3 linked regions of the Arabidopsis thaliana genome follow. The protein of the gene in region 1 interacts with the protein of each later gene in a pairwise test. Each region holds a gene or a part of one and is shown on either strand. Other genes may lie near its edges.

The links.
Region 2: the proteins of ERF7 (region 1) and OFP15 interact in a two-hybrid assay, tested with the Arabidopsis thaliana proteins (one large-scale study listed by BioGRID).
Region 3: the proteins of ERF7 (region 1) and ANAC026 interact in a two-hybrid assay, tested with the Arabidopsis thaliana proteins (one large-scale study listed by BioGRID).

The regions. Positions count from the first base shown.
Region 1 is NC_003074.8:7,084,809-7,088,567, reverse strand, and holds the start of ERF7 (ethylene response factor 7), read left to right. Parts: upstream 1-1,673; 5' UTR 1,674-1,876; coding exon 1,877-2,611; 3' UTR 2,612-3,759. Other genes in the region: ABCI15 (trigalactosyldiacylglycerol2), read left to right, coding at 1-103, 630-720, 819-911.
Region 2 is NC_003071.7:15,135,116-15,138,874, reverse strand, and holds OFP15 (ovate family protein 15), read left to right. Parts: upstream 1-1,862; 5' UTR 1,863-2,237; coding exon 2,238-3,023; 3' UTR 3,024-3,307; downstream 3,308-3,759. UniProt on the Arabidopsis thaliana protein: Transcriptional repressor that regulates multiple aspects of plant growth and development through the regulation of BEL1-LIKE (BLH) and KNOX TALE (KNAT) homeodomain transcription factors.
Region 3 is NC_003070.9:23,217,453-23,221,211, reverse strand, and holds the start of ANAC026 (NAC (No apical meristem) domain transcriptional regulator superfamily protein), read left to right. Parts: upstream 1-2,002; 5' UTR 2,003-2,449; intron 2,450-3,211; exon of another isoform or gene 3,212-3,266; 5' UTR 3,267-3,295; coding exon 3,296-3,455; intron 3,456-3,555; coding exon 3,556-3,759. UniProt on the Arabidopsis thaliana protein: Transcription activator that binds to the secondary wall NAC binding element (SNBE), 5'-(T/A)NN(C/T)(T/C/G)TNNNNNNNA(A/C)GN(A/C/T)(A/T)-3', in the promoter of target genes.

The sequences.
Region 1 (3,759 bases):
CTGAAGATGCTCAACCTTTGCTCTCTGAGTTTCGTGATAGCGGCTTGCTCAAGGAAGTTGAGTGTCTTACTCGAAGCCTTACCCAAGCTTCTGACGATTTGAGGTAATAGCTCTTAGTGGAACAATCTTGGCATATCGACTGTATATCATTATGAATATTTTGAATTCCATAGTGCAAATGCAAAACTCTTTCTGCATCATGATGAAAGCAGACCTTACGATAGATATAAGCACACTAGCTTCAATTTCTCGTATGTGGCTTCAACACTCTATTTGTGGATTAAGTTTCTGAACAAGAGATGATGGTTAAAAAGTTAAAACACATACATATCTATGCATAAATGTGTCTTATCTTATGGGTTCCATGTTAAATTAACTGCTTTGCTCATCAGTGCTTTTCAATCTTTCCTCTATTGTCTTAAAATTTCAATAATTTATCTTGTGTTGCCTCTACTTATCTTCTGCTAGCCTACTGTTTCTGTCACTTAATGTATGTTCCTGGACCACATATATGCAAAAGCTCGTTTACTTACATACGTATGATCAACTGAGTGATAACTGTGATTATGAGAACCTATATTCTTGCAGTAGACAGCAAAAATATAATTTTCATTTTGGTTACATTGCAGAAAGGTTAATTCGTCAATTATGACTCCTGAGAATACAGAACTCATACAGAAGTCAATCTACACTCTGGTTTATACTTTGAAGAACGTCGAGGTAAACTTTTTTTTCTTCTTATTCTATCAATACCAGCTTTGACAAGTTGGAAGAAACAATGTTAACAAAGACTTGGTTTTTGATTTTCTTGATTGTAGAGTATAAGCTCAGATATTCTGGGATTCACAGGAGATGAAGCCACAAGAAAAAACCTTAAACTACTCATCAAATCCCTAAGCAGGCTACTATGATCAGCCTGTAGATTTTAGACTGGATAAATAAAATCCAGAATTTTATGGTAAGCAAGTTTTAAAAATTCGAAAAATGTGTTGTTTCTTCTTTAGAGTTATTTTTGTTTTCGTTTTGTGTTCTGAGATTGGGGTTTAATGGAGAGACATAATTCAGTTTTTATAAGAACAAAAATGTTTGTTTCTCCACATTAATGCGTATCCTCAACACGGCATTTACTTTTAACACGGGAGACGACGACGATGCCGATAAGCGCGTCTCGTCTCTTGTAGGGTCCCAAAGGAAGGAGAAGAAACTAATAATAATTTCGAAGAGGGGTGTATTATTAAATAAAATAAAATAAAATCTGGAGGGTGTTTTTGGTCATTACAAGTGGACTATTTGGTCTCTAGGTGCATCAATTTGATAACAAACAAACAGTAAGACATAAGATTTTATTATATAGATTGTGGTCAGGGTCAGGACAGAGAGTGCAAGTGCTTACCCTCTTTTACTTTCTTCGCATTTCGAGACATCTCTTGTGAACTCTTTTTTAATTTTTTGTTTTTTTTTCTCCACACAATATATCGAATAAAAAGTTTAAAGCAAAAGAAAAAAAGAATCCAAGTTAGGAAAAATGTTACTCCATAATTAAATTTTTAAAGAAACGAATTGGTCGGTCTTGTGGGTCGGGCGTGAAGGTAGAGAAAAAATCGAAATTAACAACCAAAAAAAAAAAGAAAAGAAAAAGCTATTCCAACCATAAATTATTATTTTAATTAATTTATTAAATGAAAATTCTTTGAGTAAATTATTTAGAAAAAAAAAAAGAGAATTATAATAATAATTTCCAATCTCTACCCTTTGTTCCTTCATCTTCTTCCTCATCTTTCTTCTCTCTTCAACATTTTCTTCTCTTCTTCACACAAACACACACAGATCTCTTCTTCATCACATTACTTCTGGCTTTACATCTTTTTTCTTCTCCATGAGGAAAGGGAGAGGCTCTTCCGTCGTTGGACCCGCCCTTCCAGTAACCGCCGGTGGATCTGTGAAGGAGCCGAGGTATAGAGGCGTTAGGAAGAGACCTTGGGGTCGATTCGCAGCTGAGATCCGTGATCCATTAAAAAAATCTCGTGTCTGGCTCGGTACTTTCGATTCCGCCGTAGATGCTGCACGCGCTTACGATACCGCCGCACGTAACCTCCGTGGTCCAAAGGCCAAGACCAATTTCCCGATCGATTGTTCTCCTTCTTCTCCTCTCCAACCTCTCACCTACCTCCACAATCAAAACCTCTGTTCTCCTCCGGTGATTCAGAACCAGATCGATCCGTTTATGGACCATCGGTTATACGGCGGAGGTAATTTCCAGGAGCAGCAGCAGCAGCAGATTATTAGTCGGCCGGCGAGTAGCAGCATGAGCAGCACCGTTAAATCTTGTAGCGGACCGAGACCGATGGAAGCCGCGGCGGCGTCTTCGTCGGTGGCGAAACCGTTACATGCGATTAAGAGATATCCGAGAACTCCACCGGTAGCTCCGGAGGATTGTCATAGCGACTGCGATTCTTCGTCGTCTGTTATTGACGACGGAGATGATATCGCATCTTCGTCTTCCCGCCGGAAAACGCCGTTTCAGTTTGATCTTAATTTCCCGCCGTTGGATGGCGTTGACTTATTCGCTGGCGGGATAGATGATCTCCACTGTACCGATCTACGTCTCTGATTTGCTGCTTTACAAAAAAAATCCGTTGATTACACACAAAAAAAATTCTCAAATTTTACAAAATGATAACTTTATGCTCTTTTGTTTTTCCATTTTCCTTTGATATCATATTGAAAGAGAAAAAAAGGAAGAACAAAAAAAAAAGATTGAGCGTGATGATTTTATCATCAACGAAGATGATGACGATTAAAAAGAGAGAGAGATTGTGTTAAGATCTGTTACTGTAAGAACCAGATCTGGGTTTCATTTTTATCTGTTTCTTCTTATAAAAGATCCAACAACCCTTTGTTACATATATATAACATTCTGAAGCTGGTGATGATTTCTGAATGATTCAAATCCATTATCTTTAGATTTCTACTTATTCATAGAGTGTCCCCTGATGTAAGTAGGAAGCTGCATTTACATAGTATGTAACAGAACCACACAGGGCACAAGTATTTGTTTGTGTTTTGTCTCTTGGCTTGATCTTGATCAATTCAGGGTTTCTTCTATTCAACAAGTAAAGCTTAGTGGTTCTCTGAGATGGAAGCAATAAAAAGATGAAAGGAAGAAAGACGGTGAAGCTCCTTTGCTATCTAATTGGGTGATTCGAAGAGGAAGTTAGAATACTCATTGTCATTGTTAAGCCTCAAGTTTTCATTCATCAGCGAGGAGACAAGAAAGGCTTTCCCTTTTGTGTACCCAATGAATATTTTGGATGGTGAAGAACATAGAGATTAAGGGCATGGTCAATGGGCGGTGAGTGGTTTTGTTGTGATCGATAAAGCTCAATGAGCACAGGCCAAATCTTTAGGTTAAAGTTTGGTGGCTGAGATGATTGTTTTGATCTTTAAGAGCTGTGGGTTGAGGTGGCAGAATTCGTTGTGTGTTTGACCTTTTTGATTTGAATTTGCTGGTAGAGAGTTTTCCCAATTTTGGTATCTACTTTGCTTCTATGCCACGGATTCAGACAGTGAATCTTTGTGTCTGAAGCAAAAACCGAGTATTTTTTTACCGTTTTGGGGTAGGCTTCTTCTTAACTTAAAGTGGAAGTCAAAAGCAATGTCTTGTTATTTTCACTGTAACGATTTAAGACAACTGATCTCAAGTCGCTTTTCCTGTTTCGGTTCGTACTCTTAATAATCTTCTATTATTCTGGAGTTGAG
Region 2 (3,759 bases), on another chromosome or scaffold:
TTACAATCTATCGCGATTTGGTTGTAAAAATGAATCCTGAATCAGGGTCTATCAGCTTTAACCTTAATAGCCAAACTATGATCTATCAGACTATCATGACTTGATCATGACTTTCAATAGTTATTAAAAGAAAAGCGTGAGAAAACAGAGAAAATTATAAAAGTCCGTAGTATCTATCATGGTTTGTGAAATACATGTTGAAATCTTTAGATACATGATCCATATATTGTTTCTCTGCATGATCTAAAGTTTAGACCCTGCATAAATAGTGTTAATACTCATAGTTACTCTATGGACCAAAATACTATTAAAAAAATACAATGATTAGCTAAGAGGGATGGATATTGTTATAGAAAGAAAATGTGATTATTCGAATGAAACGTCTACGAAGCATCCATGAAGACAATGTCTCATAATAAGAATTTAGAAGGCATACAGCTTTCAATCATTATCTTCGCTTTTAAAAATCCACATGATTTGTCTAATCTCTCCGCTCGTAGTTCTATAATTATTTGGAAGCTTCTACTTTTATATATAATATATTATTATTTGTCAATTGAGATGTTTTTAGCTTTTTAATATTTGATATGATAATGATTTTGATATCTCTCCTCCCGTGTCGCAATCTCTCCACTGGCGACGCGTGAGAGGCACGTGAGTGAAAGTTACGTGCAAAATGGAATTGTGATTTGTGTGAGAGACTCACATGGCATTGCCTTTTTTTATAAAATATAAATCACCGATACGATCTATGATTACTTATTTTTTTAATTATTTCTATGATCTACTGCATTCTACAGAAAACAATATACATTCACAGTTCAGTTATACTATTTTTATGCAAGAATCATTCTCAGTGAGAAATTAAACTATCTATTTCGAGCATTACATGTAGTAATATTTCTAGAATTATTGACATAAAAGTTAACATGCAATATACATTATACGTAATGTATTGACAGATGCAAACCTATAGATAAATATATGTAAATAGGTTTCAGGTGCGAGCAGTTTCCATGAAAGAGAAACACAAAAAATGTTTCCGATTTGGGGAGGAGGCGTGTAATAACAATTAGTATTAAATACAACATTATTGCAAAGTTTGGATATTGTCTGATTTTACAAAATTTCTTAAAATTGACCTCATATCTTTTGTTTGTTGGTCAGTTGGTTGGTTGATTCGTTGGTTTAACTGGTGGTTGAGTTTTTCTTGTTATGGAGTATATAATTATCTATGTTTCATTCTTTTCCATTTAAATCATTTATCTTATGTTTGACGTCTAAATTATGATTGATATTTTTGGATTTCGTTTCTCTTTGGGTTTTGCTGTATTTTGGTTTCAAATTCAAAGAATAGTAACTATACAAAAATTGAATACAAATAGTATTGATAATTCTGATACGATTTTGGTTTTTGATTTACATGACTATCCATTATAGATGTTTACTTCTGTAGACATGGATTCAGAATGGAACTAAATTAATTAAAATAATAAATTGAACTATCTTAATGTGACCTAATATTTTGTCTTTCTTTAGAAATAACGATTACGTTCCTTTGCCACGTGCAATAACATATATGTAGTCCCCAAGTACGGAAGCTTCAATTATCTTTTTTGAAATCACGATCATTGACACTTAGCTAACTTTCAAAACAATTGATATTATTTTTTTTATTCATACAATAATGTAACACAGTAAACGATGTTAGGCGAATTTTTATTTTTAAATATCAGTCGGATTCAAAACCAATAATTTGTGATATGCTCCTACATTCTAAATGATAAAATAAACCATGTAGAATCCTTTCAACATACTTTGTGAATTAAGTCAGATTGAAGAAGCTACGATGAATGGAAAAACGAAAACAAGAAAGTATCATTCATTATATAATAAATACGTAAACAGCTTAACCGGGAAAAGGTACTGAATTATAGTATTGAATGAACCCCAACCAAACAACATTAAATTTTGAAGCCAATAATTAAATACAACAACCAAATACATTTAATAAAGAAATTTCATAGACGTTAAAACAAGTAAAGAAATAGAGACCCTACCAATCCTCTCTGTCCTTCTCCCCTTCAAACCCTTAAAATCTTCCCTCCCTCACTCCATTAACTCTCTCAGTTTCTTATTTTTGAATCCAATCCCCAAAACATATAAACAAAACTAAAAGAAGAAAACCAAATTTAGTTTCTTGTCTTAGTTTTCTCAGAGAAAACAAAAACAAAAATATGAAACTCCCATTTCTAAACAAGAACCACTCAACATCTTCATATTCTTCAAATTCATCATCCTCTTCATGGCCATGGCCTTCTTGTAACCAAAACCCTAAAACCTTATCTTTCAGAGCCACCATCACTTTCACCAACCCTATCCACGACCAAGACGACGATGAGCTCGACCTGCTCGACCCACCGGAGATTACAGATTCCGTAGAGAATGTGATAAAAGGGCTAAGATCATCAGAGAGACTCATCTTCGAAAGCAAAGGAGAAACCAACTCTATACTTGAAGAAGCTACGAGCAAGCGAGAAGAAGAGGACGAAGAAGAAGGCTTCATGCTCTTCTCCTTGGAATCAGACGACCCTTACTCTGATTTCAAGAGATCCATGGAGGAGATGGTTGAGGCACACGCGCTTCACCACGACTGGAAAAGCCTCGAGAAGCTTCTCCTTCAGTTCTTGAAAGTCAACGCCAAGACCAGCCATCGATATATCTTCGCGGCCTTCGTCGATCTCCTCATGAACTTAGCACTAGACACGAAAAAAGCCATCATCAATAACGACATTTCCAAAGATGACGGCGTCTCGGCCTCACGCGCCGCCGCTGCTGGAGAAGCAAGCACTTCTTGTTGTAATAGTATGACTCTTGGCGAATCTCCATCGTCTCCCTTGTCGTTTTACACGTCGTGTTCTTCATCTTCTTCCTCCGATGAGACTTCCTCGATGTCCGTACGTTTCTTGCCGCTGTCTTCTTTGTTAGAGATGGATGAGAAGACTAAAGAGATTTTAGTTTAGAACGGTTTTGCATTTTTTCTTAATTAATTTGTTTTTTTTAGCTTAATTAAAATTTGTGCAGAATTGTAACATTGGCTACCCCGACTACACATATGGAGATGATGAATCGTATGAATATTATATTGGTCTGTATTGTGCTCACTTTTTATATTTTTCATTAGTGTGGAATTTTTCGTTTTAAGTAGGATGATAATAGTTGAATCACACTTAATTTTTTTGTTTCTTTCGTAAAAACAAGTTTTAGGCCATTGGATCGGTTAATTAATCTCAGTTTTTGACACAACGTGCGTTAAAATATTTGCAACGTTGGTTTTTTTCCGTCTATAAGAACAAAAATAATAATAATAAATAGAATACAAAAAAAAAAGTTTCTTTCAAAAGCTTAAATAGAGTAGATTGCAAATAAATGCTTTTAGCTTTCAGTCAAAACATCAAATATATTAAAAGGAGTTAATTTGATTATTGACCATTGAGTTGAATTCTGGAGACTATGAATCTATGATGAACCTACAAGTACAAACAATTTATCTACATAATATTTTCACAAGAATTGTTTTTTGGCATTATTTGAAAAGAATCAGACAAAAGTTTGATATATTAAAATAAAATTTGAACTTTGTTTAAACGTTGGATAAGCTGAGAACGGGAAAACAGTGAAGATCTTCGCTTCAACGGCAGGTTTGGCTTTAAGATGAGACATGTGGGACTGTGTGAATCAGTGACACAATTCTACGAG
Region 3 (3,759 bases), on another chromosome or scaffold:
TGCCCATTTTCCAAATTTTATTAATTAATAAATTTCGCTGAAAAACAACTTTGCCCTAAAGTCCCAAACCTCAGCCGCAGACTAATCCAGATTTTGATGAACTTACCTAAAGTTGTATTGTAATTTCAATATTACCTAACTTACCTAAATTAGATCTAAAAATCTTATTTTGGTAATTAGTTACAAAACTAATTATCCAGTGAGAAAGTTAAAGTTTAGCTGTCAACCAATATCTAGAGAAAGTCAACTCAAAATCAGTTTCATTTATGAAATTTGAAATGTTTCTTATATGATAACCATGCAAATTACTTTTTTAAGCTAATGTCATCCAATCGTAACAAGAAAATAACATACAGTAATGAAAAATATTAACACTTCGTTAAGCAATATGTGTTTTGTAGTCATAGACAAAAAAAATGTAAGATTGAAAAAAAACTAACAGAAGGCATATTTTACATGGCATTCAAACTATGTTCATGAAACGGAAACTAGCTACGATCAACATCACTACCTTCAATGTTACCTCAAATCTCACAAAATGAATTTCTAATGACAAATGTATGCTGTTTTCTTCTAAAAGACTAAAAGTGTAAAAACGAATACATGTTTTATATTTATTTTCATTTTTGATTTAGCGCCATTAACTCATGAACCTTTTTATTTGTATTATCAGTTCATCATATATAATACTATAATAGGTTGAGTTTTAGAAAACAACTGAAATTCTGTCACAAATGTCTAGATGAAGCTGATATTAGTTAGATTTTTTTATTTTTGTTGTTGTTGTTAATTTCCCTAGAACATTGGATGAAAGAATTTCGATAAAGATTTATACTCCCTCTGTTTCATATTAGTTGTAGTTTAAGGTTTTTTTCACACAAATTAAGAAGTCATAAAAATCTCATTTAATCTACCTCTTTTATATAAAAACATCATTTATTATAACCAATTCAACCAATAAAAAAATAGATGATTAAATATAATTGGTTAAAGAATACTAAATATATTTATTATTTGCATAGAAAGTTGAAAACAACACTTAAATTGAAAAAAAATAAAAACCCTTAAGCTACATTTATATAGAAACAGAGGGAGTATTGAGTTGCAATAGAGTATGGGGTGAATTAAAGTTGAAAATTTAAGCGTATGCAAAATTTGCTTTCACCTATGAAAATAAATTGAAACCTACTCTACTCTTTTAACAGAAGACAATTAATATTAATGATTTTTTTTTGTTAACATCTAATATTGATGATTTAAACTTTCAAATAAAATGTGTGTTGTTAATGTTGTTATATATGGGTCATAAATTTCACAAATAAGAACGGGAAAACGGGATGAGACCCACATGACCGAACAGCAAATTGTGAGATTAATGATCGAAGCCTATCTCACGCCAGACCATCAGCCGCCACGTCAACACATTCCAATTGTTGGCGGGCCCTTGATTCCATTAATAGTGGCTCCAATTCCACATCTGATTTTTTCATCTATATATATTATTTTGTTTCGTGTTTTTATGTTTTGTTTTGTTTTGTTTTATAATAATTTGGCTAAACTGGATGGTAATTAAGTCTCATGCAAAGTAAAAAGAACATACGAAAGTCTCAATATAGTTATGCGATGTTTATCGAGGATTCTTAGACACTCATGTTAACATTTAGACTACGAATTTGGACCGTAGAACATGACTGAGTTAAGTCTTACAGAAATCTATGAACTTACTTTTGAAGATGCCAAAGGACAAAATGTTCAAAGAGAATATGTGTCCCATATATATAACGGTATTTAAAAAAGAAAAAAGAAGATATTTTAAACTTTGGACCGTCTCCATCAAGGGCTGGTGGGTGGTAATGGATCGGAGGTTGCCGCTCTCTTTCTCTATCAAAATCTTGCTTTAGTACCAAAACCTTATTCGCCTCTCTTTTCTCCCGAAGCTTTTGCAACAATTTAAGTCTCTCTATCTCACTCGGGGTTATTAAAAGACATAGACTATGATTGAGAAGGACAGAGAGAGAGAGAGACAAAGTAGTATAGATTATTAGGACACGGTTGTACACTTTTTCATGTGTCTTCTTCTCTCTTTTTCTTATTCTTATTCATCATCATCACCGTCTGATCTTCTTTATTAACCCTACTCTCTTTCTCTTCTCCCATCCTCTCTCTCAATATCTCTGACTCTTGGGATCCGATCTCTTTCCGGTGGCTATACATCCCGATGATAACTGTCAAATCTTTTCCATATGCATAACATCTCCTTTTAGGGTTCTATCTATCTCTTTCTTTAGTTCTGATCGTACTTTATAGTGCATATCGTGAAGTATTCGATCTTTCCAAGTACAAGGGAAAGATTCAATAGAACCTAGCTAGTCACATACAATAACTCAATTCCGGAGCTTTTTGAAGGGGTTGAGTTGAATCAGCCTGTTTTTGAGTTTTTTTTTTTGAGGTATAGACCCTAACTTCCTTTGAAGATTCTACTCCATCTTTGATCCTCTTCTGTATCTCTATGTTTTTGGATATATTTACTATTTTTATTTTCTTGATAATTGTTGATTTTTTAAAATTATAATTAACATCATTATCCTACTCAATGTTGCTGATGGTACAAGCTAAGCAAAGTATAATCCTTAATAGACTCGATCGTGGTCTAGGTTTTTCCTTAAGATTTGTTTTTTTTCGATTGGTGATTATAGAATGATCCTATAGATATTTCTCATATTTTCCTTTGACTCTATTTACGGATACTTAAAATGCAATTATCAGTTAATCTAACATATTAATTTATGATTAGTTATACGGGAAATGGTTAATTGGAAACTAGTAGTGATATTTTATTTTATGTATCCTTATTCCATCTTCCAGAGTCCTTTGAATCTAAACTCATTTAATCGGCTTAAATCAACTATCTTTCTTTTTTTCTAAAGATGTATAGATATTTATAGGTTTCTTATTCCCACAAAATACTACACACATGAATGTCTTAAATGATACATATGTGTGTATAAATAAGTCGGAAAGATAACCCTAACTTGTGTCTGGCTAAGTAAAAGAAACGATGCAAATCAATGCTAGATCATATATAAAACAAAATCTTGAAAACGAAAAACTGTTTTTCTTAGTTTCATTGACATTTTTCTTTCTTATTAGTTTGCCGATGCACAGATTTTTTTTTTTCTTAAGTTGATAAATGAAATGAGTTTGTATAACAATTACTTTCATGATCCATAATATAATTAACAGTCGTTATTTCATATTATAAACAGGCTAATCTCGGAAAAACAAAGAATAAAGAATGAATTCGTTTTCACAAGTACCTCCTGGCTTCAGATTTCATCCTACTGATGAAGAACTTGTAGACTACTACTTGAGGAAAAAAGTTGCATCAAAGAGAATAGAAATCGATATCATCAAGGATGTTGATCTTTACAAGATTGAGCCATGTGATCTTCAAGGTTTAGCAGGAAAATCCTATCATCTCTCTTTAGTAGTGATATCCTTGTTTTGGTATAAATTAAGGCTTACGATTGTTGTTTTTTCTTTGTGATAATTTAGAGTTATGCAAGATAGGAAACGAAGAGCAGAGCGAATGGTACTTCTTTAGTCATAAAGACAAGAAGTATCCCACGGGAACTCGAACCAATAGAGCCACGAAAGCAGGATTTTGGAAAGCCACTGGAAGAGACAAGGCTATATATATAAGACATAGTCTTATCGGTATGAGGAAAACACTTGTGTTTTACAAAGGAAGAGCCCCAA